Lonchura striata: one gene and its partners. The protein of the gene in region 2 purifies or fractionates together with the protein of the main gene of each other region. This does not show direct contact. Links are inferred from orthologs where the notes say so. Each region holds a gene or a part of one and is shown on either strand. Other genes may lie near its edges.

The links.
Region 1: the proteins of SMURF2 (region 2) and TGFBR1 purify together in Homo sapiens (affinity purification with western blotting; 8 studies listed by BioGRID). This does not show direct contact. The link is inferred for Lonchura striata from reciprocal best matches to the Homo sapiens genes SMURF2 and TGFBR1.
Region 3: the proteins of SMURF2 (region 2) and TGFBR2 purify together in Homo sapiens (affinity purification with western blotting; 3 studies listed by BioGRID). This does not show direct contact. The link is inferred for Lonchura striata from reciprocal best matches to the Homo sapiens genes SMURF2 and TGFBR2.
Region 4: the proteins of SMURF2 (region 2) and SMAD4 purify together in Homo sapiens (affinity purification with western blotting; 3 studies listed by BioGRID). This does not show direct contact. The link is inferred for Lonchura striata from reciprocal best matches to the Homo sapiens genes SMURF2 and SMAD4.

The regions. Positions count from the first base shown.
Region 1 is NC_134603.1:84,465,619-84,472,702, forward strand, and holds the start of TGFBR1 (TGF-beta receptor type-1), read left to right. Parts: upstream 1-4,080; 5' UTR 4,081-4,166; coding exon 4,167-4,245; intron 4,246-7,084. UniProt on the Homo sapiens protein: Transmembrane serine/threonine kinase forming with the TGF-beta type II serine/threonine kinase receptor, TGFBR2, the non-promiscuous receptor for the TGF-beta cytokines TGFB1, TGFB2 and TGFB3.
Region 2 is NC_134621.1:8,494,039-8,501,852, forward strand, and holds the start of SMURF2 (E3 ubiquitin-protein ligase SMURF2), read right to left. Parts: upstream 3,012-7,814; 5' UTR 2,822-3,011; coding exon 2,770-2,821; intron 1-2,769. UniProt on the Homo sapiens protein: E3 ubiquitin-protein ligase which accepts ubiquitin from an E2 ubiquitin-conjugating enzyme in the form of a thioester and then directly transfers the ubiquitin to targeted substrates.
Region 3 is NC_134603.1:116,137,438-116,145,369, forward strand, and holds the start of TGFBR2 (TGF-beta receptor type-2), read right to left. Parts: upstream 3,021-7,932; 5' UTR 2,977-3,020; coding exon 2,883-2,976; intron 1-2,882. UniProt on the Homo sapiens protein: Transmembrane serine/threonine kinase forming with the TGF-beta type I serine/threonine kinase receptor, TGFBR1, the non-promiscuous receptor for the TGF-beta cytokines TGFB1, TGFB2 and TGFB3.
Region 4 is NC_134642.1:1,015,980-1,022,801, forward strand, and holds the start of SMAD4 (mothers against decapentaplegic homolog 4), read right to left. Parts: upstream 3,016-6,822; 5' UTR 2,762-3,015; intron 1-2,761. UniProt on the Homo sapiens protein: In muscle physiology, plays a central role in the balance between atrophy and hypertrophy. When recruited by MSTN, promotes atrophy response via phosphorylated SMAD2/4.

The DNA of each region.
Region 1 (7,084 bases), on a different chromosome or scaffold from region 2:
GCTTTAGGACTAATTGTGCATACACTGTTTGTGAGAGAAAGATTATTTATTAGCCTGATACAGTACCTTCTAAACCAAAAGACAAATAAAACTTTTAGTCATCACCATTAATATTATTTCCTATCACAATTCCATATATTTTTACTTTAAGACCTAAGGGAAAAAATATTTATTGGTTCCCATTTTTGGAACTAAATCATTATATTCATATTATAAATCTTTCTCAAAGACTAACCTATAGAACAAATTGGTTTGTATAATTGTCTCTCTATCCACTTGCTCCTTTCCAAAATGTCTTTTATTTCAATGCCCTACATAGTTTTTTTCTTTGTGGAGTACAGAGTTCCAGTAGTACAGAGTTCCATTTGAAACATTCATGCAGTTGCAATTATTTTGTTTTCCATCTTCCAGAAGAGAAAATAAAACCATAAGAAGTGTTCGTACACTGACAATAATTCTTGCAGAAAATAAAAGCAGCCCTAGGTAAAGATTAATTATTTCATTCTCTCTCCCTGTGGGTGCTGCGCATGTGTATGACTGTCACATTCTAGTACAGAAGAAAGAAATTAATCAGTGTTTAAATTGCAGATATTCGCTGTGTAATAACCTGATTTACTCAGTCTAAAAACCAATCTGATGATTTAAACAAATCTCATAAATCCAGATAGTTTGGTTTTTCTGTGTCACCTTGCTTTGTGTTCTACCTTGCATTAAAAAAAATTATTATTATTGCTGCATATTTCTATAATTGGAATATAATTATGTTATGAAATCATTCATTTATTAGAAAAATGAGGCTAGGAAAAATGGGGGGGTTGCCTGTTCTTTTAAATTTATGTCCACTGATGACATTATTTCCATCCTCAGTAAGCACTGAGGATTGCAGTTCGTAAGAAGTTCTTTTAAGCGTTCCTTTACAGGAAATACTGAAAAATTATATTTAATTCATCCAGTTAAAATGTCGTAACCATACAATGGTCATGCATTGTTTTCTATTGAACTTGGCAGATTTGTACTGTGAAATAGTTTTTTCATGCTTTGGCAGGAAAAGGCCAAGCAATTATTGCAATTTTGAAGAATCTGTGATCATAGAACAGTTATTTTCTTCTTAAACAAAATGTCACTTTATAGGAAAGCATATATTGAAACTGTTTCACTGATTGTGTCATTTTCTGACTTAGCCCCACTTGACTAACTAGCATGTTTAGAGGATGAAAATCGTAAGATGCAAGCATCAAGATGTCCTCACTACCTTTGGACTGGCATTCAATTTGTTTGCAGACATAGGGAGGAACCAATGAATTAAATATTTTCAGGTCATCATTTTTATATTGTCGTTTTTATTTAATTGCTCTATTTTTATAGCAAAAACAAAGGTAATTTTGTTGTTACCAAACAGGGCATGTGACATGAATTACTTTGCATCTCAACCAGTGAATCCAAGTACCTCTCCTATAGCCCCCCCTAAAGAAGCCAGGTACTGCCCAGATGAGCAAAGCTCCTGCTGCACCAAAAGCAGTTATGAAGCTCATAAGAAGGAAGGGGAAGACCTAAATATTGGAAAAGGGGAACTTACAGCAGGAGTAACAGCAGAAGAAAGATGATGGAAAAACACCAGGATGAATCTTACAGTGATAAGGGGGAGCTAACAGGGGAAGGTACCAACAAGAACAAGACCCAAATGTCTACCAGAGCCCATTGAATATCAAGAGTCTGTATCATAATCAGAAGTTCTTGGACCCCGCCTTAATCAAGACCAGAAGAGGCAGTCCTAAGAACCTGGATATGTGGAAAAATAGCGAGAAACGGGGAGATTCTGGACATGCAGAACCCATTTTGGTAGCTATGCTTCTGTCCACATTTACTTTGGCTTTTACATCTAGCATACATAAGATCAGAGAGAGGTACCCAGGCTTCAGGACAGGGGATGACATAATTTTAGGTATTTCTTCTGTAGTGGTCTTTACCTCATGAGTGATATGGAAGAAGAGTGAAGCCTGGCAAAAAAAAACTCCTTTGTAGTTGGCACTATTGGACCTGAATCCATCTTAGCTGGTGAGTTGATACCAGCAAGTTATTGATTTATTTTAATTTTTCTGTGTCTGTCAGCCAAATGTCACTCAGGATGTTAATTCAAAATGTTCCACATAGAACTGAACTTGGAGCCCTGAAAAGAAATCCTTCAGCATGCTCTGCTTACTGGTCTCTGCCTTCCTTCAGAGATATAGTCTGTGACCCATCCCTAAACCCAGGAGATCTGCAATGGGGAAATGAATAGTAGATTTTTTTCCCCTGAGCATAATTTTCTTAATTTATAGTTTCAATGCTCAATATGAATTTAAAAGATGTCTCAGGATTTGAGAAATTTAACTGAGTGCTTCAGTGTTTCTTTCTGACGCTAATACATTTAGTTGAGGATCAGCCCTCTACATATTTCTATGTATGGATAACTAAGAACATGTTTGCCTGGTGTTGTCAGCTTCAGTAGTTCATTACAGCATGAATCTATATGAAATCCAGACATTTGGTTCAACATCTGACATTAAGTGCATGTCATTAAAATGTTATTTTGTGAGAGAAAATATAACTAGGATATGTTTATGCATGACACTGATCATTGTTCAAAGAGAAACAGAAAGAGAATTAATTAATAAATATTTACCTCACTTTGAACTATGACATCAAAATTCTTACCCAGGTGAAGTGTACTGTAGGAGAAACAAGACTTTTTTATAAAAGCAGTATTGGCTGAACAACTGCTAGTAAAATGGAGGCAGCAGATCAGTGTGCCGTGACAGTGAATGTGGTCCTGGAGAGTGGGAAGGGTGCTGTCCTGAGCACTGCAAGCTGGGAAGGCACCATTTGGCAAAGACAGGGCACGGGGCTTGCAAGAGCAACTGCAAGTAATGTGGAAGAACACCTGTGATCTTTGTGACTTTGCCTATGACGGGAGGGTCACACTCCATGCAAAATAAGCAACAAAAGGAGTATAAAGGCATATGCTGAGAGATTCTGAACTGATTCAGGGTCTGGACACAACAGTCAGATATTTGAGCGGGGGGGGCGAGGGGGGGGGGAGGGGGCGGATTCCCAGAGCAATCAGGTAACTGCTGGGAGAATCGTTACCTGATCCCAAGAGGGAAGAAGAGAGCCTCTCCTCCTACTCTGCCACCCATGCAAAGCTAATAAAGTGGTGGATAGAAGTAACAACCTCAGTCACGGTCATTTTCCTCACGAGGTACATCCTAGTTGCCCCAGGATTTAAGATTCAAGGTGTACCTCCGACGGGTATTCGGACTGCACGAGTCTGCGATTCCCAGTTAACTCCTGAAGTTAAGCGCAGGCTGTGCAATAAGCTGGCAGCTACACCTGTCGCCTGGCACCGCTCTTCCCTCGCACGGGGACAAAGCCTGTGAGCTGAGCGCTGAGACTGCCGCTGAGGCGAGGGAAAACCCTCCGCTGCGGGACGGCGGAGCGGCCGCGGGGCTGCCGCGGGAGCGCCGGGCGGTCCCGTGCCGCGGGCAAGGAGCGGGAGCTGCCCCTGCGCTGCGGCCCCGCCGCGACCGCCCGGGGCTCCGCACGCTCCGCCTGCCCACTCGCAGCGCCTCCCAGGAGGAGCAATTCCTCCGCTCCCGCTGCTTTCCTCCTCTCCGGAGGCAACTCGAGGGCTGCCCACAGGCCCCCGCACCTGCCTTCCATCGGAGCCGATGCTCCCGGGACTCCGCGCAGTGCAGCGCTGCCAGCGCTCCCTCCTCGCTGCTGGCAGCGCCTCAGCCGCTAACCCGAGCGCTCTCGCAGCACCCGGACGCAGGGAAACTCCAAGCCCGCTCGAGCCCCTTCGGGAGCGGCATCGAGGGGACAGAGCGGCCGCTCTGCCGTTCTCACCCGCCGGGAGGGGGTGCCACCGCCCCGCCCCGCGCCGCCGCCGCGCAGGTCGCGCCCCGCTCCCGCCGCCTGTTGTTGTCGGGGCTGCCCGCGGCCGCCGCGGGGCGGGGCCGGGGCGCAGCGACCAATCAGGCGGCGCCGCCGCCGCCGCGTCGGCGGCATTCGCGGCCGGAGCGGGCCGGGAGGGCGCACGCAGCGCGGGCGCCGCGCCGGTCCCTGGGCGGGCGGAGCGGGCGCGCGTCGCGAGGCGGATCCCGGCTCCGGGGAGTCGCGGCCAGGACATGGCAGCGGCTACTCGGCGGCGTCCCTGGGCCCTGCTGTGCCTGGCTGCGGCCTCGCTGCTCTGCCCCGCGGTGGGCGGTGAGTGCGCAGGGGGGCGCGGGAGCGGAGAGAGGCGGCGGGCGCGGCGGTGGTGTCCGGAGCGGCGTGTGGGGGTGCGTGGGGAGATCGGCGGGGGGCGGCGGATCCCCGCCGGTTCCTTTCAACAACATGGCGGAGGGGCCGGCTGGGGCGGAGTCACCTTCCCCCCACCCCCGGTGTCCGAGCCCGGCGGGGACCGCTCGGCCCTTTGTTGGCCGAGAGCGGCGGCGGCTCCGCGGGAGGGGCGGCGGGAAGGGTCCCCTCGGGCCCCGCCGCTACTTCCTCGGCCCGGCTGAGCAGCGCTTCGGGCGATGTCTGCCCGCGTTAACTTTCTATCCTGATGTCCGCCCGGGGGGGTGCGTGTGGCCTTGGCCCGCGAAGGCAGCTGAGGCTCCTGGAGCTGCCGGAGCTCCCCTGTCTATCTGTCCGCCAGCTCCTGGGAGCTCCCGGGCGGGGTGCCCGGCAGCGGCGGGAGCGGCAGCCCCCGGGCCGCCGCAGGGCGCTCGTAGTGGTGCCCGGGAGGAGCGGCGGGGCAGAGACGTGTTGAATGTCCCACGTCGCGGAGGTGACAGGGGGCTGCCCCCGCTGTGCTGCGCGCTGCAGCACCGTGTGCTGCTGTCACGGTGCTGGGGGGACAGGCGAACTTTTGGTCCAGCACGCCCTCGCCTGTGTGCTCGGTGCGGGTCGAGCCGTGTGGAAATGAAATCTTCGGGTGAATGTTGTACAGCGAAACGGTTGTGTTCTCCAGTCTCCTGTACCTGTGCTTTTTTGCGAGAGATTTGATATCAGACTATGCTGTTGCAGAGCTAGTGCAAGAAACATTGGGAGTGCTTGACAGCATTCATAAATGGAAGATTTGGGTGGTTTTCTTTTTTCGTTTTGTTTTTTTTTTTTTTTTTTTGAATGTGCAGGTTGTTCTGCGGTTAGCAGTTTGGGACATATGGCCTAATGGATTGTATATTGCTTTGGATTTTAAAAAGGAAGTGGAGAAGCACCACAACTTTTTCGGTTACAGCTTTAAGAAATCCCTCAGTCTGGATCTATACCATGCTGTATATAATTCAATCTAAAATGGTAGTCATGGTGAAAAAAAAGCTACTTAAAGCATCACTTGCTGTATTAACATGTAGTGTTAATCACACATATTCTTACTGAAGGCGATGCAAGATCTCTGATGTGGAAACACTGAAATAAGCTTAAGTTACCCATGGGTTGTTCTTATGTTCTTGAAAAGGTGCGGCAGGCTTTAATAATTTAAAGCTTTCTTATGTAACACATTCAATTTAGTAGTTGAAGGAAATTTTAGTTCAATTTGAGCTTTGAACTTTTTCCCTTTTAATGCCTCCCATCAATCCAACAGTTTTCCCTTAATCTGAAGCATGAAATTAAGGTCTAAAAGCTTTGTGTGAAAACAAGGCAACAGACTTCCATACAAAACCTTATGGGTGGAAGTGATGGTGTGCTACCTTTTGTTTAATAAAAGATAAATCCTCTCTGTTCAATGGAATTGGAAGAAATCCAGGATTCATGATCCATAGCTCATCCAGAGGCCCTGGTATGGGTGAGGCAGGTAATTTGCCTGAACATTATGGTCTAAGTTGATAGAGTAGTTCAAGGTATGATTTGGGTACTGGTACTTCTTACTGTGAGTTGACAGAAGTTGGGCAATTTCTGGTTGCCTCTGCTGGGGCTGTTCTGCAATGTGCTGGTGTTACTGTGTGGATGAGTCATCTTGTGATACGGTTTATATGGAGGTCAGGTATGTAATGAATCCCAGCAGCTAGCTGAACAGTTGAACAGCCTTAATTTTTAAGACAGAGTCTGAAAATAGGCTTTCTGGTTTTCACTGTGTACGCCATAGTCTTTAGTCTTCTGAAGTTCTGGGGAGTCACCACTTGAAAATTCTTGAATTCAGACAATTGCTTCTAACTGCAAATAAAGATAACAATCTGATTAATATGGTGGAATAAATTTAAAAGTACAAATAAAGATCCTTCTGTTGTCATAATGCTTGTAAAATTATGATCTGGGCTTTTAAATTTAGCTTTCTTCTGTTAGTTTGGGTTTTTTTAAAGCTTATTCTTCTACCAGAGAAGAAACAAATTGTTACTGTATTATGCTCTAAGAGGCATGAACATATATCTCTGGGTAGTGTTTTTGATAGATGTCAAGAAAACTAAAAGTGCCATTTGGCTCCTACATTGCACAGAATATAATATCACTTTTGTGAAGTTGGGATTTTACACAAGATTTTATCGCTATTTACAAGTTGTGGGTACTTAATAGTAATTTATCTGTTTTCTTGAGTGCATCACTTTGTTTGACAAGACCTGCTGTTTGCAAGAAGGAAGATGGATGAAATCTATGTGAAAGTTTTCCTGAAAACTTGATACCCGGTGCTGTTACAACAGTGAAACTTTTAATTATTGCCTTTGTGAGAAGAATGTGTTAGTGGAGGCCATAAAGTATTGTGATTTTAAAAACTGTACCTATGTCCCAGATATTTTAAGATTGAAACCTTTTTGTATCTTGAGCTAAAAGAGTTCAGAGATGAGTCAGGTGTATTGTTTGAGGCGATTGTCTGAATTAGACTCAGAAGCTGACATTTGCACTGTTATGTATTATTCTTTTTTTCCTTTGGCAAGTGTTATTGGACAGGGAAAGAGCTACCAGTGAGCATGAAACCCTTTTGCTCATATCCCTAAAAATGTGGTTTTGTCTCTTGCACATAATAGCCTTGCTCCTTTATTCCCTCGAAACTCTGCATCTTATGGAACCAAGAATTGTGATTGCTCTTCTGATGAAGTTCTGCTTTCTGGTGACGTTTTGGCTTCAAAAT
Region 2 (7,814 bases):
GCTGTTAAGATAAATTTCGCAGAAAACTAGTGCAATTCTGGAATTTAGCTAATTTAAATTATACTGCCTATATTTTAATCAAAAACAAGGATTTACACCTCCTGCTAGAAGTATCATCAGAAGCCATGACACCTGGATTTTAAAAATTATTTGCAACAAACAGCCAAACCTTTGCTAAAGAATAAACTTTTTAAATAAATATATAACACAGATACACTGTAAACTAAATAAAAACTTACTAGAAGTATGCCACCGCTGTGGTTTTTCTCTGTTGTGGAACCCAGACCTAAATAAACTGTTAAACACTTAGTGTAAAGGTATGCCAAACATTTCTCAGAACTTTCTTAAGGTCTCAACAAAGAGTCAACCTTTTTTGCAAAATGAGGCCTAGGTTAAATATTTTATTTGGCTCCTCAAGATGGACTGAGAAGTTGGGCACTAGCTCCAGATCAGTTCTTGGACTCACATCAAACATTACCCTGTCATTTATCCAGTCAGTCAAAACAATGTTTTCCATCTAAACCTTTAATGTTTATGTCCTGAAAAACTGCTAATTGAATCCAGTTCTTGAAATCTATTTTTTAATCTATACCATTTAATTTAGAGATACTGAACAGAAAAGATAAGCGTTGAACAATGATTGCAGAATTAATCCCATAAACATTCAAGCCAAAACAGAAGACTGCTAGTTTCATAGAGCCAAAGAAAATTAAGATTAAATAGCATTTGTCAGTTTGAGAATAAACTTTTAGAAACACTGGATATACAGATTCTTTTAATTCCAAACAGTTTTAGAACTCAAGAGCCCCCAAACTGCTTTTCCAATCAAAAAGAATAATCAAAACCACACAGAACACTTACAACTATTCCTAGGCAAGAACTGACAACATGTCAGCTGAATTAATAAAATTCATTGTTTTCCTTAAACATGTAAAGCTTCCTTACAACAAATGACCTTAGGTGAAACAACTCCCCATTAGCTAAAGCAGAAAATACCTCAAGCTGTTCAGCTGGAGACACAGGCCAATGTTTCCTATAAGCTTCCAATAATGGAACTGGTACTCAGTGCCTGCCAGAGCTGCTAGCCCTGGAACAGTCCTAAAAAGACACTTTTGCCTTCATCCCATACTCTGCACTTTCCCTTCCCAAAATACAAGATGCCCAAAAAACACAAAAACATTCCTTAGGGTTGTACCTGCTGCATTTGGGGGCTGACCACAGTGCGTAAAACCACAGCGTGCTTCTGGTCACAATCACACTCCCCTCACCACACTGAGATTGTCACAGGCACAGTTTCATTATATGCTTATTCCTCAATAAAAATAAAATATGAAATGAATTTGAACACAAAACACAGAGGTGAGAAAGACAAGTCCCTAGACAGTATTTTCCATTATTTTAAATAAGGTTACAGACCATTTTTTATGTTTCAAAGATAAGCAAGTCTGAGCACTCACTGCTCAGGGAAAGAAAGTATTAAAGCACTGCATCAATACAGCAATAACCTGAGGAGAAAGCTACAAAACACTCAGTAAAAACAAGGCAGCACTGTTCCATGCAGCAGTCCCAGCTACGCTCATTTTAGGAGTTTTATTTCCAAGTGTAATATAGAGACACTCACGAATCTCCATGAAAACTAGATAACAAATCTAGTCCAAGTTATTCCAAAGTAAAACAGAAGCAGATACATTTTACTTTTTCTGTGAAAATAACATACTTGGAAAGATCAGTATGAAAACACCTCTCTTTATTAGGTATTAAACTGGAGATATTTCTCACACACCTTAAGTAAATATAACAACTCTTCTAATATTTAAAAAAATATTTCTTTTGCAAGCTGCTTAGAAACACTATATAAAGGTGGATATTTACAGTGAAAAGCTATACTCTTCTAATTGCTTACCTTTGTGTACTGATGCTTCAGGACACACAGTGTCATTTATGTGCTGGAGGACTTAACAATACTTTGAAGAAAAGAGCTAGATTCAAGTGTCCTGAATTTTTTTAAAGAAAGCTCAAGCAGAATTTCCAGTATTTTTTTTCCTCTAAACCTGTTTACGTGGGGTTTTATATGGAAAAGGGCATAATTTTAAGTATTTAAGACCAGATTCTTTTCCTTCCCAGCATGCAGGTGAACCGTTTTTATGGTATTTTAAAATATCAGAGGTCAAGTGGTCTGGAGTAGGGCAGGACAAGGCAGTTCACCCAAGAACTGTGAACAATCACAGAATATGCTGAGTTGGAAGGGACCCACCAGGATGATCGAGCCCAGCTCCTGGCCCTGCACAGGACACCCCAAAATCCCTCCCTGTCCCTGAGAATGTTGACCAAAGGCTCCCTGAGCTCTGCCAGCCTTGGGGCTCTGAGCACTGCCCTGGGAGCCTCTCCAGTGCCCAACAGCCTTAGCCGAGGAAATCGCTTAAAAACCCCAACAAAACAACAACAATAAACAAACAACGAGATCGAAACAAAAAGCGTGGCAGTTTCTTTCGAGTTTACACCGAGAAGACGAAGGGAAAATACACTGCAAGGCTGGGGCGCGGTGGCTGAAGTTCCCCCAGGCGGCTGCGGGGCCCGGGCCGGGCGGGCGGCGGAGCCCGGACACGCCGAGCCCGGGGCCGAGGGGAACGGACGGCAGGGAAACCTCGCCCTCCCCTTCCCTGCGAGGCCCGAGGGGCCGCTCCGGCCCCAGGCTCAGCCCCAACGACACCCGGAGGAGCCGCTGCCGCCCCCCGCCCGGGCTGGCCCGCGGCCCCGGCCCAGCCTCACCTGTCAGCCGCAGCTTGACGGGCCCGTTCCGCCGGGCCCCCGGGTTGGACATGGCCCCGGCCGCGGCACCCCGCCGCCGCTCCGCAAGGGCTCGGGGGAGGCGCGAATGGAGCCGGGCCGGGCGCTCAGGGCAGCGGCGGCCGCCGAAGGAGGAGGAGAAGGAGAGGCCCGGATGTGCCCAGCGTCGCCATGAGCGGGGCCGGGGCCGCGGAGGAGGAGCGGAGCCTTCCCCGCTTCCCTCCGCTTCCCTCCGCTTCCCCGCCCCCGGGCCCGAGCACAACAAAGCCGGGACGGAGCCGCACGGACGGGCGGGCTGGCGGCGAGCTCGGCTCCTCTGCTCTCCCTCCGTCCCTCCCTCCTGCCCCGGGGAGGCCCTGCCCGCCCCCCGCGCCCCGCCTCGGGTCAGCCTCGGGGGAACGGCGGCAGGTGGCGGCGGCGGCCGGGCGCTGCTGGCCGGGAGGCCGGCGGGATGGCCTGTCCCGGGAGAGCGGGGCTCGGCAAGGATGGGGGAATGGCCGTGTCCCGGGAGAGCGGGATGGACCTGTCCCGGGAGAGCGGGATGGACCTGTCCCGGGAGAGCGGGGAATGGCCGTGTCCCGGGAGAGCGGGATGGACCTGTCCCGGGAGAGCGGGATGGCCGTGTCCCGGGAGAGCGGGGGATGGACCTGTCCCGGGAGAGCGGGATGGACCTGTCCCGGGAGAGCGGGATGGACCTGTCCCGGGAGAGCGGGATGGCCGTGTCCCGGGAGAGCGGGGGATGGACCTGTCCCGGGAGAGCGGGGGATGGACCTGTCCCGGGAGAGCGGGATGGACCTGTCCTGGGAGAGCGGGATGGCCGTGTCCCGGGAGAGCGGGGGATGGACCTGTCCCGGGAGAGCGGGATGGCCTGTCCCGGGAGAGCGGGATGGACCTGTCCCGGGAGAGCGGGGGATGGACCTGTCCCGGGAGAGCGGGGGATGGACCTGTCCCGGGAGAGCGGGGGATGGACCTGTCCCGGGAGAGCGGGGGATGGACCTGTCCCGGGAGAGCGGGATGGACCTGTCCCGGGAGAGCGGGGGATGGACCTGTCCCGGGAGAGCGGGGGATGGACCTGTCCCGGGAGAGCGGGATGGACCTGTCCCGGGAGAGCGGGATGGCCGTGTCCCGGGAGAGCGGGATGGACCTGTCCCGGGAGAGCGGGGGATGGACCTGTCCCGGGAGAGCGGGGCTCGGGAAGGATGGGGGGATGGCCGTGTCCTGGGAGGGCTGGAAATGGGGAAGGATGTGGGGAATGGCTGTGCCTGAGGGGAAGTAGGGGACTGGGAAGGATGTGGACAGTGGCCATGGCCTGGGAGAGCTGGGGATCGGGAAGAATGTGGGTGAATAGCCAAGGTGGGGAGGAGAGGGTGGCAGAGAAGCTGTGTAGGGAGTTGGGACAGGAAAACCGAGGGTACAAATGGGAAAAGACATGGCAGGAGAATTCAGAGGCAGGCTGAAATGGGTGGTCCCACGCAGGAGTGCTGCCGATCCATGACAATATTCCTCATGGACAGGGTGTGACAGACCAGCCCTGGAAACTGTTAAACTTTGGACCAATTTGGTTCTTATCTGCACTGTGTAGAAATCAGCAGTTGAGCTCTGTGAACTGCCATGTGCAGAATAATAATATTTTTTTTTTTTTAAAGCCTTGCATCCATGCCGTGTTGCCTAATTTAACTCCCACCCTGTGGGAAAGGTGACCCTTTCCAGAGTTTTCCCAGCTCTGCAACACACTTCCCATGAGGAGACCTCCATCAGAGTAATAGGCAGCTTTCTGCAGGGCCAGAGGGGCCTCAAGGGTGAGACAAGCTCCCAGGAAAGCTATGAACGTTACCACAGTCTAGATTACTTTAGAAGTTTAAGCTAATACATCACACACCTACTCTTACTAACAACCTTACTAAGACTCTACTCGTTTGGTCATGTCACTGCTCTGGCTTCTTCCTGCTGAGGTAACCTGTGAAGTATTATCATGTGGGTAGTCAGAGGTGAGGATCCAGCTATGGATCCCCAGCATTGGATGAGAAGATGACCTGTGCTTCACTGAGTTCATCCTGTGGCTCCTACACAGCCCAGGAGGTTTTCTCTGCAGTCGCTTGGAGCTGAGCTGTAACCATGTCTTGAATGGTCCCATCCTGACAGAGCTCAGAGTCTGAGCCTCGTTAATTCAAACCTGGGGTGTGCGACTGATTTTTTTTTTCCACTGAAGGCCTTGAAGTGCAATGTGGTTCTTAAAGCTTTCCATCCATAAAAAGTGACCTCTCCTATGCTGTACGTGGGGATTGACTTCCTATTCCTCCCAAAGTGTCTGAAGTGCAAGGTGGAGATTTCCAGTGCTTCCTGCAGTGGTGGCACTGCTGTTCCAGTGTCACTTCAGCAGGGAACAGAGGAATCCTGGGGTCCCTTCTTTGGCCAGGGCTGTGCCTGTCCCCTGTGCCATCAGCTGTTTAACACAAAACTAGCAAATGTTAGACACCAACCTCTTTCACAGCACAGGCAGAGCACAAGATAAAGCATAAAACATCTTTCCAGTGCTTTGCCACTGGTTAAAAAGAAGAGAATTTGAAACAATTAAAGTCTAAGCAGCATTTACTACAAAACATGGACAATACACCTATGGATTTTATGACTTTACATTGCACTGAAACAGTTAAGAAGTTATTTTGTAATGGTTATGTAAATTCATGCACACCCCAAAGACATTCCAGGTGTCCTGATTCTTGCATTAAAAAAAAAAAAAAGAGGAAGAAAATTAAACATTTATAATTGAAGGTCATACTATTAAATTTTCAGTCTGTTACAAATTCACATACTCTTTTCTCAAACCAAGTATATAATGCAACTGGCTGTTTGGATCACAACTACACTGCCTCTTTTGTTGAGCTTGTAATGAGGAATCATTGATGGTTTGCAAATATTGCAACATTAACTGGCCACTGCTAAACTGAACAGGAAAAAAAAAAAAAAAAAACAAAACTACTTTTCACATACTTAACATATTTCTAAATTTTTCCTAACATGATGATTATTCATTTCTGGGGTCTTGCAGTGCACTTTGGACCTAACATTCAATAATTCTGATATAATTTGACAAAAGTGCCTAATGTTATATTAAATACAGAATTCTTTCTACATGATCTTTTTCTAATGGATAACTAGTATGTCAGACATTAATTGAAATGCCAATATTTAAAAAACCCTTTGGGATTAAATATACTTTCATTGTTCAGTAGTTATATGAACATTTAAATTCTTTCATTAAAAGTGTTTTTTAAAGGTCATGAAGCATACTTGGTTTCAAACTGCTTTTCAGAAAGGAACTTGCTGAACTATAAATTTTTCTAAGGTTTTTGGACACACTGCTCACCTTTCAGTGAAAGCATTGTGATATATTGCAAGTGTTAGAGCATTAACTGACACTGCATTTGGGTCAGCATATAAAATGTACAGTCTGCAGGATGGCTGCTACTGCTGTACACTTTTCTTTAATATGTGCCATATTTGATTTTATTTACTTAATTTTTAAACAACCAACATGACTTGAGCACTTTTATAAATACATGCCAAGTGCATCACATGGGACAGTCCTGTATAGTAGGTGTGTATTCAGCAGGGGGAGAAGAAGGGCTCCAGCTCCCATCAGCCTGGCAGGGCTGGGTCCCAGTTGGGTCTTGTCCCTAAGGTGGGGAGAACACCCTGGACCAGGCTGCCCTCGGACACACAGAGGCACCAGATGCCAACTGCTGCACCCTCCTTTCTCAGGGCTGTGCCTTGGCTGTCCCACAGCTGTTTGTGTCCTGTCCTATCTCCCAGTTCTGTTGGGAAATGAGGATTTTCACTCGCTGTTCCCTTCACTGTGTAGAACTGCCAGGAAGGATTTAAACCGAGTATGTTCAAGAGGAACCAGTGCAAGATCTGCAGGCAGATGAAGGGAAGCCAGGCAGAGCACCAGGAACTGCGGTGGTGTAGGGGAGCAAAGATGCTGGCAGTCCCTGGTGGTAGAAAGTGCTGCTTTCCCAACCAAGAAATCCCACTGGAATGTTATGATCCAGAGGTTCCTGAGCCAGTACCATCCCCCAAATTCTCAAAATATTCTCAGATTAACAGAACCGATCTCTCACTGATCCTCCTTTCGCTTTCAGAAGCCAAGATTTTGCAGGAAATTGTATCTTTATACAGTTCCATTTCAGAGGTTTCACTCTGTGCAGGGCTGATCCTGTGAGAGAGACAAGCAAGTATCATCAGCGCTGCTGACAAGAGCCCCATGCTCCAGTGCAGGCTGGTATCACTGAACAACACATCCTTTCAAGATGAGACAGCTCGCTGGGATCCACATCACCCTGCAGATCATTTTGGATGACAGCCTTGCTGCTGGATTTGGGAATCCAATCCAGCCTTCTTCAGCCAGAGCTTCACAGCTGAGCCACCCTCTAACGGATTGGAAGAAATGTGTAGAGAAGGGGCAAGGTCAGGTATCTTTAGGACACCAACAGGGTGAAGAATCCACATGGAGAAAATAATGTAATAGTTGGTATTATTATGATATCCTATCAGTGGTATTGGTGTTATATGAGTGACACTTTTGAATAAATATTTAGAAATACAAAAATTTCTTCTGTTCCGTGACTACAGAAAAAAGGGCTTTGATTTCTTGAATTTACCAAGAGGTAAATTCTTCTTAGGAGAAGAATTTTGTTTCACATGTAGTTCTCAAAGGATTTAGTGGTTTTGGATGCCAGGAAATGTGTACAAACATCTTTAACTAAGTAGTGTCATTTTCAGAAGAGGATGGTTGTAGTTAATTTTGTAGAGGTGGTGTCCTCCCCATCTTTAGAAATGGAAGACTATACTGGAAACTCATTCCTTGGCATGTGGAATGTGTTCAAAGCAAATCAACATTTAAGAATTACATTCCATTTCTTTCTGTATATAGGTTTAATCATGGCACATTCCTTCAGCAGTAATGAGAGCTGGCTGGTATTATATCACATTCTTTCCCAGTTTCTGTAATGTAGCAAGAAAGCAAG
Region 3 (7,932 bases), on a different chromosome or scaffold from region 2:
TCACCACCTGAGTATTAAAGAAGCATGTTAATGCCAATTAAATATTAAAAATAGCAAGTAAACAAAAGTGTTTTTCAAAGTCTTAGGTATAAAAGTCTCACAATTCAAGGATACCCCATAAATAGAAGAAATTTCAATATCATCTCTAATATATCCCTACTTCCCTCCTGAAATACCTGGAAAAATGCCAGTTTTACTGGGGGGTAGGAATGCATTTTAGACTCAATCCTGTTACAAGCATGTTCCATCCCGTTACAAGATGTTTGCTCTCCTACTTCCCTTTTGCAAACATCTGAAGCTCTAAATTTGATTTTCATACTATAAAATTAACTACCTCTGATATGGCTTTCAAAAAAATAGCAGTAATGCAAATAGAGCTTGGCTGAATGGAGAAATTAAGTTCCTGATGTTCAGAGACGAACAGTTATTGCATGGATGATTCCAAGGAACAAATTTCTGGTTACAATAACCCAAAGACAAACTACAAATTCATATTCACTTGAACACACTAACACAAAATTCTTACACGGACAACTGCTGTTCTACACTGACATTAATGGATAAAATGATCAATAAATCATTCAAAATCATTCCAAAAAAATCACACCTTGCCCCTTTACTCTATGCAAAAAAGTCAATTACTTCTGTGTAGTACAGACCATGACAGTTTTCTTTTTCATAATTCCTATTGAACCTCTTCATGAATTTGTGGGTTTCTCCAAAATCTTTATGGGAATGTGTCTTGTCTATTTTGCTGTGAAGAATGTTAAAATGAAATTGTAGCTAGTGCTTTTTTATCCAGCCATCTGGTTAGTTAGTAGGCACACCTGGGAACTGAGCTCTTCCGAGACTGATATATGTCCTTTTTTTTCCAGCTTTACTACACTGATGAATTCTTACAAAATAAATAACTATTTTTTTTCCTGTTTTGTTTTCCCCCAAGCATTTGGCAGCTCTAATTTTTATTCTGGTGCCAAATAACTACCGACATCCAAACCTCACACTTTCTGCTCCACAGAACTGTTGCTTTCTGATCAGCTCTTCCTGTCATAATAGAATTCTATTGCACAGTCGAATCCTACAGTGTTTATCAAAACAGCTTTTGGAGCTGTGGGATAGATTATCTGAAAACAGGTCTACTCAGTTTTTTTTATTTTAGGGTGTAGATGAAGATGAGTATGAAAAATGCTGGAACTGTAACCAGTTTGTGTTCTTTTTCCTCACTGAACCTATGACAAGAAAGAAGAGCAAACTCTTGAGCCATGCCCACTTTAAAAAATCTACCCATAGTTTGAGACTGTCTATAGCTGATTGAGTATAAAAAAGTATAATAATAAATAACACAAGATTAACAAAAGCTGAGCTTCTCCATTAAAGTTTTTTGTGATGGGAATCTGCAAAAGTTTGAGGCTGTGGTCAAAATAAAGGCCATCACAAGTTGCGTATGGTTTATGTTAATGAAGAATTATAGAATATATATATATATAAAATTAACAAGAAGCTACACACCTCAAATTTAATATAACTTACAGCTGTGGGACACCATAGTGTCATTCATACCCTGTTCTTTTCTTTTGCCCTAAGCTTTCATGAGTAACTTTGCAGGTATGCACAACCTGTTGACTGTGACAGGGCTGTTAATGAAGCATGAAGTTAGTCAAAGAACTGCACATAGCTAAAGGCAGTAGCTGTTGAAGAGTCATCCGCTTCATGTTATTATGTTTCAGCCAAAATTTGGGATCAACTACTGACCATGAAGGGACCAGACAGGAAAATCAGAGGGCCCAGGGAAAAGTTTGTAGAAGCCCAGGTGTCTGCACACCTTACCTGAAGACTAAAACTAGATGTGCCATTACAAGACATCTTAGAAAGCTACTTAATTCTTCACAAGTGTTTCAGATGCATTTGCTACAATCTCCTGTTCTCCTTTTAGGTTCACCACTTGTTCTGCAACGTGATTTAGGGCCTAACCTTGATATTACAGATGTTAATTCACAGATGTGGGTAACTGCTAGTAGAACAGAGACGGAAAGCTGCTCCGAGCAGGAATCTTGTTTTTTCCAGCAGAACTTTAAGCTCATAGTATATTATAAATTATGATAGGAAGAATACTGCAAGCCGCAGACCCCAAAAACCTATCTAAGGATGTCTTGCTAGAAGCAGGGTAAAGATTACAAAGTGTCACTTTTAAAGTGAGTCAAACAACATCCGCAGTCGGTGCTAGAGGAATGAGTGCTTTTCAGTCCAACTGCTCACAGGCACGGCTAAACTCCGCTCTTCTCAGGAACTCAGGAACCCCAGGTTTTGGTGACCAAGTGCAGACCCACGGCAGCGGGCTCTGTGGCCACGCTCTGAGAGCCCCCCGAGGCACCTCCAGCCGTGGCCGCGGCGGTGCAGGACAGCGGTGCCCAGCGGAGCGGCGGCGCCGGGGCCGGAGCGCTGCGAAGGGGCCGCGGGTTCCCGGCCCGCGCCCCCGGCCCGTCCCCGCGCACGGGGCCGCCACCAGGTGCGGAGCCGCCGCATCAGCTGCGGGCAGGGCCTGCAGCCCTTCCCCGGCCACCGCAGGCAGGCTCCAGATGCCCTCTCCGGGCTCCTCCGGCCCGAGCAGACCCCGCCGATTTCCTGCCAAATCCGCTCCTTTCTCCCCGCTGTTCCCTCCACGGACGGATCTCAGCTTCGGCCGCGAAACCCCGAGATTCCCAGTCCTTTCTTCCCCGCTTACTCTCCCGCAGGGCCATCCACAAACACGCTCACCCCCTCCCGAAATGTTTCCAGCTTCAAAACTTTCTCAGCAGCCGTGTCCCCCGCCTCCCGCCTGTCCCTCGCCGCTTGTCCCGGCCCCAGCAGCTGTCAAGCGGCAGCGCGGGCCGGCGCGCACTTACCCCGGAGCAGAGCGGGGACCGAGCTGCCCATCAGCGCCCAGAGGGAGAGGCGCAGCAGCAGCCGCCGCAGGCTGCTCGGCAGCCGGGGAGTCATCGCGGAGCCGGATCGGCGCGGCCGGCGAGCCGCGGGCAGGGCGCGGGGGCGGCGGGGAGGCCGCGGCGGCGGTGGCGGGGCTGGCGGGGAGCGGGGCCGCGCCGCTCCGCTGCTCGGGACCGAGGGTGACTCACTGAAACTTCACTTCGGCGCTGCAGGGGAAACAGGAAATCTTAAACTTCGCAAACAGCTGGGCAGGACTTTCTTACTCTTACAGTAGTTCCTTCTCCCCCTTCCCACAGTCACCCCCTCCCCTGCTCTCGCCCTTTTTTCTTTCCTTTTTCTTTCTTTTTTTTTTTTTTTTTTCTTTTTAACATGAAACCTCACCCAGCTTGGTGTCAATCATCTGCCAGAGGCCAGCCCCTCTCAGGTCTGGCTCTCCCACCACAAGCGCGTCGGGGCCAGCCCCGACGTGCAGCTGGATCCCTGCGCCTGCCTCCCTCCGAGGCGGGGACCGGGCACAGCCACCCGCCCGGAGCTGCACCGTGGCTTGCGAGGAGGCTCAAGGTCGACAGGAAACCACCAGCTCGGAGGGGTACTACTCGCTCCCTGCGAGTTGAAAAGGACCCAGACGTGTCATCTAGGACATGGGGACTTTGCAGAGCTCCTCCTCGCATCCGTATCCCTGACCTTAACGATGCTGCAGCAGCAGTATCAGAAAGAAGGACGTAACCCCCAGATGAACTAAAACAGGGAGCCGGGGAGGTTGAAGTCAGGGTAACAGCAGGAAATATTCACATAGACTAGCTGGGCACTCAGCTTCCAGATGTTGGAGCTGACTGGAACAACTTGTCACCTGCTGCTTATTTTGCTTCCAAATAGGCTGGTTGTACATTACTTTATCTCCAATCCTGTGTAGGTGACACAAATTAAGTTCGTCTCCATCCCTCTCCAAAGGAACTTCTACCAGATATTTTGCCTTTTCTGCAAGAGGGAATTGCACCTATGATTCAGAAAGTAGGACCACGCCAGTGATTCCAGCTTTTCATGGCCCTGTCAGAGACTGTAAGAACCATTCAGTTTTGAATCTGAATAAAGCTTGAGCTCCCTGCCAGTATAAATCCAGCCACTGCGTAGCCAGCAGTTGTATTGAGAACCATTTCCAGCTCACAGTCTTCCTTCCTCTCCGAGTTAAATGGCTGGGCATTGATTGAAGGGTAAACTGATGCACATGGGGATAATTTGAGGGCGATTGTTCCAACGTTGGTGATTCGCTTTTGTCTTGGTTACAACACTAGTTAGAGATACAGATCTGGGTATTTCAGAAAGAGGGCTAAGCCCTCAGGGGGAATAGATGTAATTATGCTCTGGATGTCCCAGATCATCTCTGTTTTACTCTGTTTGAATTTGGAAATGCTTGAATTTGGAAATGTTTGCGTAAAGAATTTAATTGGCCTGTAACAGACATTTTAAAAAAATCATTGTGCTTTTATGTAAACTTAGTTTTAAACAATCCCTAAATACATATTTTCACCATGAAGTCTCAGTTTATGGTACAAAGTCTCATAAACCTCTCTCCAAGAGCATTTTCCTCTCCCTCATCCTCTTTTTATATAGTCAAGATTCACTCAAACAGGTGGTGGTCGCCACCCTCCAGAGATAAGAAAAGTTGCAGACTCCCCTTTGAGCACAGACGGGAGTGTTCTTATCAGTTCCTGTCCACCAGCTATGTGCTAGAATGTGACTGTGTTTTCAGTATCCACTTAAACAAAAGCATTTCTCAACTCACACAAGTATATACTGCATGCTGTACACTTCTCTCTCCTCAGAGCTGTCAAGTTGCAGGTGCCAAAGAGCTGCTATTTGCTTAGAAAGTTGGCTCTGTGTGCTGAACTCTCCTGTTAGTTTTTGGTGACTACCTTCCAACATAAAAAACAAGTTTAAAAGCAAATAAGTACAGATTTAGTATTACTATTCAAACCTGTCACAAATCAGGTGTGACTTTGCAAGCCTGACTCTGTGTCACTTGCATCTCTCTCCCTCACATAAGTGCTATGGCTCTTCTCCAATATAGCCATATTCTGCCCAGTCTCTCTCATCCAGGGTCTGGCAGTAGGTGAGGGGCTTGCAGTAGATGGAGGCTTTGGGAAGGGCTGCACTTAGGTTTCCAATAGTCTCAAATCCTTGGGTGCAGCCAGGCATCACTGGCCCTTCTCTCACATGAGGTGATATGGCACCTGTTACCCAGCAAGTGAGGAGTCTAGTACAAGTGGACTTCAGGAATTTGCTATTTCCATGTAAGTACTACATTTATTTTTACAGATACACCGTGCAGTGAGGATTGTGCTACAGCTGCGCTTTGGATGTTCAGAGAATCCATGAGAGTGAGAGATGTTACTAGAAAGTGGAAGGAAATTTTACCTGGATATGCTCAGGGGAAGAGTAGTATCATTGCCACTAGTAGCCTGTGTGGAAGTTGAAGTAAAGCCAACTTTGCTTCACAGATTTATCCCAGACAGGCTTATTAGTGAAAACTCATATTTTGCCTTTTTGAGTACTACAAACCTCCCTGTTAGGACCCAAATGCAGTTTAATCAGGACTCCCTGGACAACCAAAATATATGAAACAATTGTAATGGTAATTTCTTTCCATTTCCTTGTTCATAGCTCCCAGTTCCCTGTTTTCAGATAGCAGTTTCTTTTTGATTGAAACTGTGAGTATTTAACCTCAGCCTGATTGAGGTAGAGAAAGAGTCCTCTTCAAGGAGTGGGAGATTAAAGGTGTAAATAATAATCTCCAGCCTGACTGGGTAAGGTAAGACAGCTACTTTCAGTTCCTCACTCAAAAAGGCAAAATATCAAAGCACTGAATATTGTGTTTTCTTTCTGAGCCTTTCAAATATATACTGAGAGCACAAGCAATTTATAACCTCTTGTACTTCAGGGTCTCCTAGTGAAAACATGCTAACTGCTCTTTGCTGCACGTCTTAAGTATGGCTTTTAAAACAGTCCACAAAACTACCAAGTATAAATGATGTCTCTTTGTTAGTCTAAGTATTTTCTAGCTTTCGGTATCTTATTTCTGTCAAAATCCCATGTGAACTACAGCATTATCCTCACAGAAAAACACTTTCAAGCATCTACAAAAGATGCATTGTTACTAAAAAGCTGTTGTTTCACTGTACTTAACATACACTCCATTCAAAACCATTCTGCTCACAGCCACAAGCTGCTGATGTCCACAATAAAGCAATTATTTTGATTGGTTTATTAACTCCAGTGTTGTTTTATGTAAGAATCCAAGAACAAGATAGTTCCCGAAAGCAGAATTAAGTAAGGCCTATACAGTTGCACTAGCATGACATAATATTCATGTCTGTGTAGAGCTGATATTTATGGTGTGGGAAAAGACATCTCAACTTACTTTGCTGCCTAAAAGTTAGCCTTGGACTGAAGTTCCAGGAGATGGCTGTGAAAACCCATTGCCTTTCTCACAATCTGATGGAGCAGTCCTGTTTGTTTCACTGTGATGGGATAGTCCCAGATCAGGTTCAATAACCAAAGGATGGAGGACAAATGCTGGATTAACAGAATTGCCATTATGGTGGCAGCAGGCTATTAGGTCACCCACATTCCCTTGGTCATCCAAGGAGGGAAAGGAGTCTAGATATTTTAATGAGCTGATGAGAGGGAGCGTAATTAGCCCAGACATCTATTTGTTAGGTAACTGATGTTAGATGACATGAATCCTAAAGAAAATACTCTTTGAATTGTATACATCACATAAAGTAAGCTACAAGGTGCTTTACCTGTTGGCAGCCATTGGAGTTAATGCCTGTGATTTTTTGGAATGACACAAGGCAAACAGGTACATAGGATGCTGATATTGCCTTACTGAAACTATTAATGAAGTAACTGGAATAAGTATCTTGACCCAACTAAAAACACTGATGACTCTGGACATGTTGTGTCATAACTACTTTCAAAATAAAAATAGGAAATCTGCTTGAACCACTGACATGCCCCATTTTGATGTTTTTGTTGTGATACAGATTGTGTTTTGTTTTGAAACAGACTATTAGTTTGAATTTTTTTTTTGTTCTCACCATGTTATGTATAAAAAAAAGAACAATGGAACAACATCTGACACTTTGATTTCACTGCACTTAAGCAAAAAGTTTATTTTCCAGACAAATTTTGGCATTTCAGTTCAAATCAAAGTCAAATTTTGTAAGCCTATATAATTTGAAACTCAAATGATAAAAACTCTGTTCACTGCAGTGCTGCATTCACAAAACTGGCATTTGCCTGCTAATTTTCAAAATGAGGGTGCTTGGCATGGAGCATTATCCTTTCAGAATCCTTGATAAAAGGATGTCTTGTGTATCATTGGCTGAAGAACACATTGTCCTCTTTGGAGCAGTTTGAAACGGTTGTGCCCTGTATCACCATTCGAATAATATTTCTCTCTTAATTTAGGTTATCATAGAGCACAGAATTACAGCTACTGTTAAATGTAGTTTTCTTCTTTCATATAATCACTGGTTTCAACTCGTTATTGATAATTTGCACCATTGTGAGAACACATGCAGCCTCAAGCAAGGACATTTACAAAAGGTTACATTCATTGTAAAATGTTTTGAAAAACTTATAAAATGTGTTTGGACTTAACACAGCATTTATCCTTATCTCATAGATATAATCAAATTAAAACATCTGTTGTGTGTAATCATCCGTCAGAAAAAGGAAATCGTCTTGTTATCAACTGCTGCGTACATCAGAGGCAACAAGAATAATAATGTTATCTTCGACATTTATCTCAGTAAAGCTTTCTGCACAAATCTTCTGAATGACGCTTATCAAAATAAGGTTTTGAAATATTATTCAAATTAGTACTAGATTCTCAGGGTACTGCTGTTCACACGATCTCTGACTTTTAGCTATAATGCAAATCAACCATTTCTAAGCTTCCTCGAATTGGCTTGCTCTGTGTTTATGGTGAATGCGTAAATAACC
Region 4 (6,822 bases), on a different chromosome or scaffold from region 2:
TGGTCACTCTGGGCACAGGATCCCTGGGTCACTCTGGGCACAGGATCCCTGGTCAGTGTGGGCACAGGATCCCTGGGTCACTCTGGGCACAGGATCCCTGGTCACTCTGGGCACAGGATCCCTGGTCAGTGTGGGCACAGGATCCCTGGTCACTCTGGGCACAGGATCCCTGGTCAGTGTGGGCACAGGATCCCTGGTCAGTGTGGGCACAGGATCCCTGGTCAGTGTGGGCACAGGATCCCTGGTCAGTGTGGGCACAGGATCCCTGGTCACTCTGGGCACAGGATCCCTGGGTCACTCTGGGCACAGGATCCCTGGTCAGTGTGGGCACAGGATCCCTGGTCAGTGTGGGCACAGGATCCCTGGTCAGTGTGGGCACAGGATCCCTGGTCAGTGTGGGCACAGGATCCCTGGTCAGTGTGGGCACAGGATCCCTGGTCAGTGTGGGCACAGGATCCCTGGTCAGTGTGGGCACAGGATCCCTGGGTCAGTGTGGGCACAGGATCCCTGGTCAGTGTGGGCACAGGATCCCTGGTCACTCTGGGCACAGGATCCCTGGTCAGTGTGGGCACAGGATCCCTGGGTCAGTGTGGGCACAGGATCCCTGGTCACTCTGGGCACAGGATCCCTGGTCAGTGTGGGCACAGGATCCCTGGGTCACTCTGGGCACAGGATCCCTGGTCACTCTGGGCACAGGATCCCTGGGTCACTCTGGGCACAGGATCCCTGGTCAGTGTGGGCACAGGATCCCTGGGTCAGTGTGGGCACAGGATCCCTGGTCAGTGTGGGCACAGGATCCCTGGTCACTCTGGGCACAGGATCCCTGGGTCACTCTGGGCACAGGATCCCTGGTCAGTGTGGGCACAGGATCCCTGGGTCACTCTGGGCACAGGATCCCTGGTCACTCTGGGCACAGGATCCCTGGTCAGTGTGGGCACAGGATCCCTGGTCAGTGTGGGCACAGGATCCCTGGTCACTCTGGGCACAGGATCCCTGGGTCACTCTGGGCACAGGATCCCTGGTCACTCTGGGCACAGGATCCCTGGTCACTCTGGGCACAGGATCCCTGGGTCACTCTGGGCACAGGATCCCTGGTCAGTGTGGGCACAGGATCCCTGGTCAGTGTGGGCACAGGATCCCTGGGTCACTCTGGGCACAGGATCCCTGGTCAGTGTGGGCACAGGATCCCTGGGTCACTCTGGGCACAGGATCCCTGGTCACTCTGGGCACAGGATCCCTGGTCACTCTGGGCACAGGATCCCTGGTCAGTGTGGGCACAGGATCCCTGGTCACTCTGGGCACAGGATCCCTGGGTCACTCTGGGCACAGGATCCCTGGTCAGTGTGGGCACAGGATCCCTGGGTCACTCTGGGCACAGGATCCCTGGGTCACTCTGGGCACAGGATCCCTGGTCAGTGTGGGCACAGGATCCCTGGTCACTCTGGGCACAGGATCCCTGGGTCACTCTGGGCACAGGATCCCTGGTCAGTGTGGGCACAGGATCCCTGGTCAGTGTGGGCACAGGATCCCTGGGTCACTCTGGGCACAGGATCCCTGGGTCACTCTGGGCACAGGATCCCTGGTCACTCTGGGCACAGGATCCCTGGGTCACTCTGGGCACAGGATCCCTGGTCAGTGTGGGCACAGGATCCCTGGTCAGTGTGGGCACAGGATCCCTGGGTCACTCTGGGCACAGGATCCCTGGTCAGTGTGGGCACAGGATCCCTGGGTCACTCTGGGCACAGGATCCCTGGTCACTCTGGGCACAGGATCCCTGGTCACTCTGGGCACAGGATCCCTGGTCAGTGTGGGCACAGGATCCCTGGTCACTCTGGGCACAGGATCCCTGGGTCACTCTGGGCACAGGATCCCTGGTCAGTGTGGGCACAGGATCCCTGGGTCACTCTGGGCACAGGATCCCTGGGTCACTCTGGGCACAGGATCCCTGGTCAGTGTGGGCACAGGATCCCTGGTCACTCTGGGCACAGGATCCCTGGGTCACTCTGGGCACAGGATCCCTGGTCAGTGTGGGCACAGGATCCCTGGTCAGTGTGGGCACAGGATCCCTGGGTCACTCTGGGCACAGGATCCCTGGGTCACTCTGGGCACAGGATCCCTGGTCAGTGTGGGCACAGGATCCCTGGTCACTCTGGGCACAGGATCCCTGGGTCACTCTGGGCACAGGATCCCTGGTCACTCTGGGCACAGGATCCCTGGTCACTCTGGGCACAGGATCCCTGGGTCACTCTGGGCACAGGATCCCTGGTCAGTGTGGGCACAGGATCCCTGGTCAGTGTGGGCACAGGATCCCTGGTCAGTGTGGGCACAGGATCCCTGGTCAGTGTGGGCACAGGATCCCTGGGTCACTCTGGGCACAGGATCCCTGGTCAGTGTGGGCACAGGATCCCTGGGTCACTCTGGGCACAGGATCCCTGGTCACTCTGGGCACAGGATCCCTGGGTCACTCTGGGCACAGGATCCCTGGGTCACTCTGGGCACAGGATCCCTGGTCAGTGTGGGCACAGGATCCCTGGGTCACTCTGGGCACAGGATCCCTGGGTCGCTCTCCACTCTGCGCTGCTCGCTGTGTCTGCTCGCCCGTTCCCTTCCCACATCCCAAACTTTGTTCCGGGCCGGGCGGTGTTTCCCCGGCCCAGCGCGGTGTCCCGGCTCCGGCCCCGGGGCCGTCCCGCGGGGAGCCGGGCCGGTGCCGCGGTTCGGGGAAGGGTCCCGGGCGCGGGCCCGGCCGGTCCGGCCTTACCTGGGCGCGGCCGCCGAGGGGGCGCGGGCAGGCCGGGGCCTCCGGCCCGGGCGCGGCGGCGGCGGCTCGGGGCAGCCCCGGCGCCGCTGCCGCTGCCGAGGTGTCGGTGCCGGTGCGGTGCCGGTGCTGTGCCGGTGCTGTGCCCGTGCCCGTGCCCGTGTCCCGCTCGCTCCGGTCGCTTTCGCCGCCGCCGCTGGTCCCGACACGTCCGGGCCGCTGCCACCGCGCATGCGCCACATCCGGGTCCCGCCGCGCCTGCGCCACATCCGGGTCCCGCCGCGCATGCGCCACATCCGGGTCCCGCCGCGCATGCGCCACATCCGGGCCCCGTGGCGCATCCGCCATATCCGGGTCCCGCCGCGCATGCGCCACATCCGGGTCCCGCCGCGCATGCGCCACATCCGGGTCCCGCCGCGCATCCGCCACATCCGGGTCCCGCGGCGCCTGCGCGGGCGGGCGCGTTGTGTTTGTGGTTGGCGGGCGGCGCGCCGCGGGGAGAGCGGAGCGGGCGGGCTGCGCTCCGGGGAACCGGGATTTCGCTGCATCCCACGGGATATCACGGGATCCCACTGCATCCCACGGGATATCACGGGATCCCACTGCATCCCACGGGATATCAAGGGATTCCACTGCATCCCACTGGATTCCACAGCATCCCACAGCAATCCACAGCATCCCACTGGATTCCACAGGGTCCAGCTGGGTCCCACTGGATCCCGCTGCATCCCACGGGATCTCACAGGATCCCACAGCATCCCACGGGAACCCCCAGCATCCCACTGTATCACACAGCGTCACTATGGATCCCATGGAATCCCACGGGATCCCAATGGAGCCCCCATCATTATGCTGGATCCCACAGCATCCCACGGGATCCCAGAGTGTCCCACGGGATCCCACTGGATCCCACAGCATCCCACGGGATGCAGGATGCGGGATAGCCCCAGGGAACCAGGAGTGCGGGCAGCATCCCTTCCCCACCCTGGCAGCACCCCCGAGCTCTGCGGGACACGGACCCTCCCTGGGCACTCCAGGGATGGGATCCAACCCTCCCTGGGCAGTTCCAGTTCCTGAGCCCCCTTCCATGGGGAAATTCCTGCTGGTTCCACCCTGAGCTGCCCTGGCCCAGCCTGAGGCCGTTCCCTCTCCTCCTGTCCCTGTTCCCTGGGAACAGATCACAAATCCCCCCCGGCTGTCCCCTCCTGTCAGGAGCTGTGCAGAGCCACAAGGTCCCCCTGAGCCTCCTTTGCTCCAGGCTCAGCCCCTTCCCAGCTCCCTCAGGAACTCTCCAGCCCCTTCCCAGCTCCCTCAGGAACTCTCCAGCCCCTTCCCAGCTCCTCAGGAACTCTCCAGCCCCTTCCCAGCTCCTCAGGAACTCTCCATTCCCTTCCCAGCTCCTCAGGAACTCTCCATTCCCTTCCCAGCTCCTCAGGAACTCTCCATTCCCTTCCCAGCTCCTCAGGAACTCTCCATTCCCTTCCCAGCTCCTCAGGAACTCTCCAGCCCCTTCCCAGCTCCTCAGGAACTCTCCCAGAATTTGGCACTCGCAGCCCTGCCCGCAGCTCTGCCTCCCCTCTCCTCATCTCCCCAGGCCAGCTCGGCTGGAAAGGAAAAGCTGTTTTAGAACTGAAGCCTTGGACATTCCTGCCCTCGCAGTGTGGAGCTGGCATTGGACACAGGGCAGGATGTGCTGTGCCCCCGGAAAAATGCGATGTGCTTTTCCTGAGTCCAACAGGATTTTGGCAAGGCACTGGCGCGCTGTCACAGCCGCCCTAATGAGAACCAAGAATAATGGGAATTTTAAAAAATTGTTGTGTTGCCCTGTCAAAACTTTTCCTGCTCTTGCTGTTCAGTCATTTACAGTCACTTCCACACGCTGAAGGCCTTAGGTTGAAAAGCAATATATAATACTGCTGCATTTGTCATCCCTAGGTGTAATTGCAGCCTCTCCGCACCAGGATTCGCCGGGTGAGGCACAAATTACCTTTTCCTGGAGGAATTCTGGCTGGGAGATGAGATCTCCAGCCCAAGGCGGTGTCCCACACCGGGCACTCGTGGCCCTGCCGCCTTGGCCAGCCCCACAGCAGCACCCCGCGTGCCAGGGGCGGGTTGAATTAGCACTAATTAAAGAGATAACGAGCACAGCCCCTTCTGCCTGCAGCCACCTGCACCCTCAGCCAAGGAGATCTCCTCACACCCAGCGGAAGTGCTGGGGTTTGTGTGGTGAACCTGGCAGTGCCACCCTGAACTCAGCTCTTGGAGAGGCCTTGTGAGCTTGGGGACAATGTCGGGGCTGGTTTTCATTGCAGGAGCTGCAGGGCCGCTGCATCGGGGCTGGGTGCCGTGCAGAACCACCCCTGCAGCACAAGCGTTGCATCGCATCCCAGCTCTCGGGGCTCTGGCAGCGGAGGTGACCCCGAGAATTCCAAAATTCCTTTCTTCCAGCCCACCCAGCCGAAGCAGGAGTGGGAATGCATAGGGTTGGTTTCTCGAGGTTGTTAATTCTCTATTATCTGCAGCGTTCTTTCTCAAGGAGCTGCGCTCTGTCCAGCAGGTCACTGTGCACAGAATCCGCCCTTGGGATGGTGTTTACATTCTACACCAAAAACTACCTCTTACAATAATGTAAACATAGTTTGTAGTACCTATGATTTATGTTGGACAGTTTGTCTGTACCTTAAACCAACAGAAAAGTGTCACCAGCACAGCAAGACATGGAGGGCAAGGAGAAGGAGAAGGAGAAGAGAAGGAGAAGGAGAAGGAGAAGGAGAAGGAGAAGGAGAAGGAGAAGGAGAAGGAGAAGGAGAAGGAGAAGGAGAAGGAGAAGGAGAAGGAGAAGGGAAGGAGAAGGAGAAGGGAAGGAGAAGGAGAAGGAGAAGGAGAAGGAGAAGGAGAAGGAGAAGGAGAAGGAGAAGGAGAAGGAGAAGGAGAAGGAGAAGGAGAAGGAGAAGAGAAGGAGAAGGAGAAGAGAAGGAGAAGGAGAAGAGAAGGAGAAGGAGAAGGAGAAGGAGAAGGAGAAGGAGAAGGAGAAGGGAAGGAGAAGGAGAAGGAGAAGGAGAAGGAGAAGGAGAAGGAGAAGGGAAGGAGAAGGAGAAGGAGAAGGAGAAGGAGAAGGGAAGGAGAAGGAGAAGGAGGAGAAGAGAAGGAGAAGGAGAAGGAGAAGGAGAAGGAGAAGAAGGAGAAGAGAAGAAGAAGGAGAAGGAGAAGGAGAAGGAGAAGGAGAAGGAGAAGGAGAAGGAGAAGGAGAAGGAGAAGGAGAAGGAGAAGGAGAAGGAGAAGGAGAAGGAGAAGGAGAAGGAGAAGGAGGAGAAGAGGAGAAGGAGAAGGAGAAGGAGAAGGAGAAGGAGAAGGAGAAGGAGAAGGAGGAGAAGAGGAGAAGGAGAAGGAGAAGGAGAAGGAGAAGGAGAAGGAGAAGGAGAAGGAGAAGGAGAAGGAGAAGGAGAAGGAGAAGGAGAAGAAGAGAAGGAGAAGGAGAAGAAGGAGAAGGAGAAGGAAAAGGAGAAGGAGAAGAAGGAGAAGAGAAGAAGAAGGAGAAGGAGAAGGAGAAGGAGGAGAAGGAGAAGGCCAGGACATGCTCAAATCCCTCCATCTTGTCCCCTTGAACCCCACTGGAAAACCCCCAAAATTCTACTTTTTCACCCTGTGTTAATTCAACCACCACGCCACTCAAACCCTTGTGGCTTGTAACTCCTCACACAGAGTTGGCAGCTTTTTCCATGGGCTAAAATCAAAGCCACGGGTGTTTTTGTCTTGTGCCAGGGTCTGGGGACAGCCAGGGCAGCCAGAGGGGTGAGCTGGGCTCTGGCAGTGCCCCGGAGCACCCTGTGTTTATAAACACCTCTGTTCCAAAGCCACTGCCCCGAGCTGCCCATCGCCGTGTTCCTATTGTTAATAACAACAATAATGAATTTAATTATGAACACAAATTAATAATTCGCCATTCATAACACAAAATGCGCTCAGCTGTCCCCGTGGCTCCGCGCCAATCCTCGGATTTCAGGGAGAGCTGGGCCAGCCCTGCCGGCTCGGCAGGACGCACATTTCTGGAACCAAAACCACGC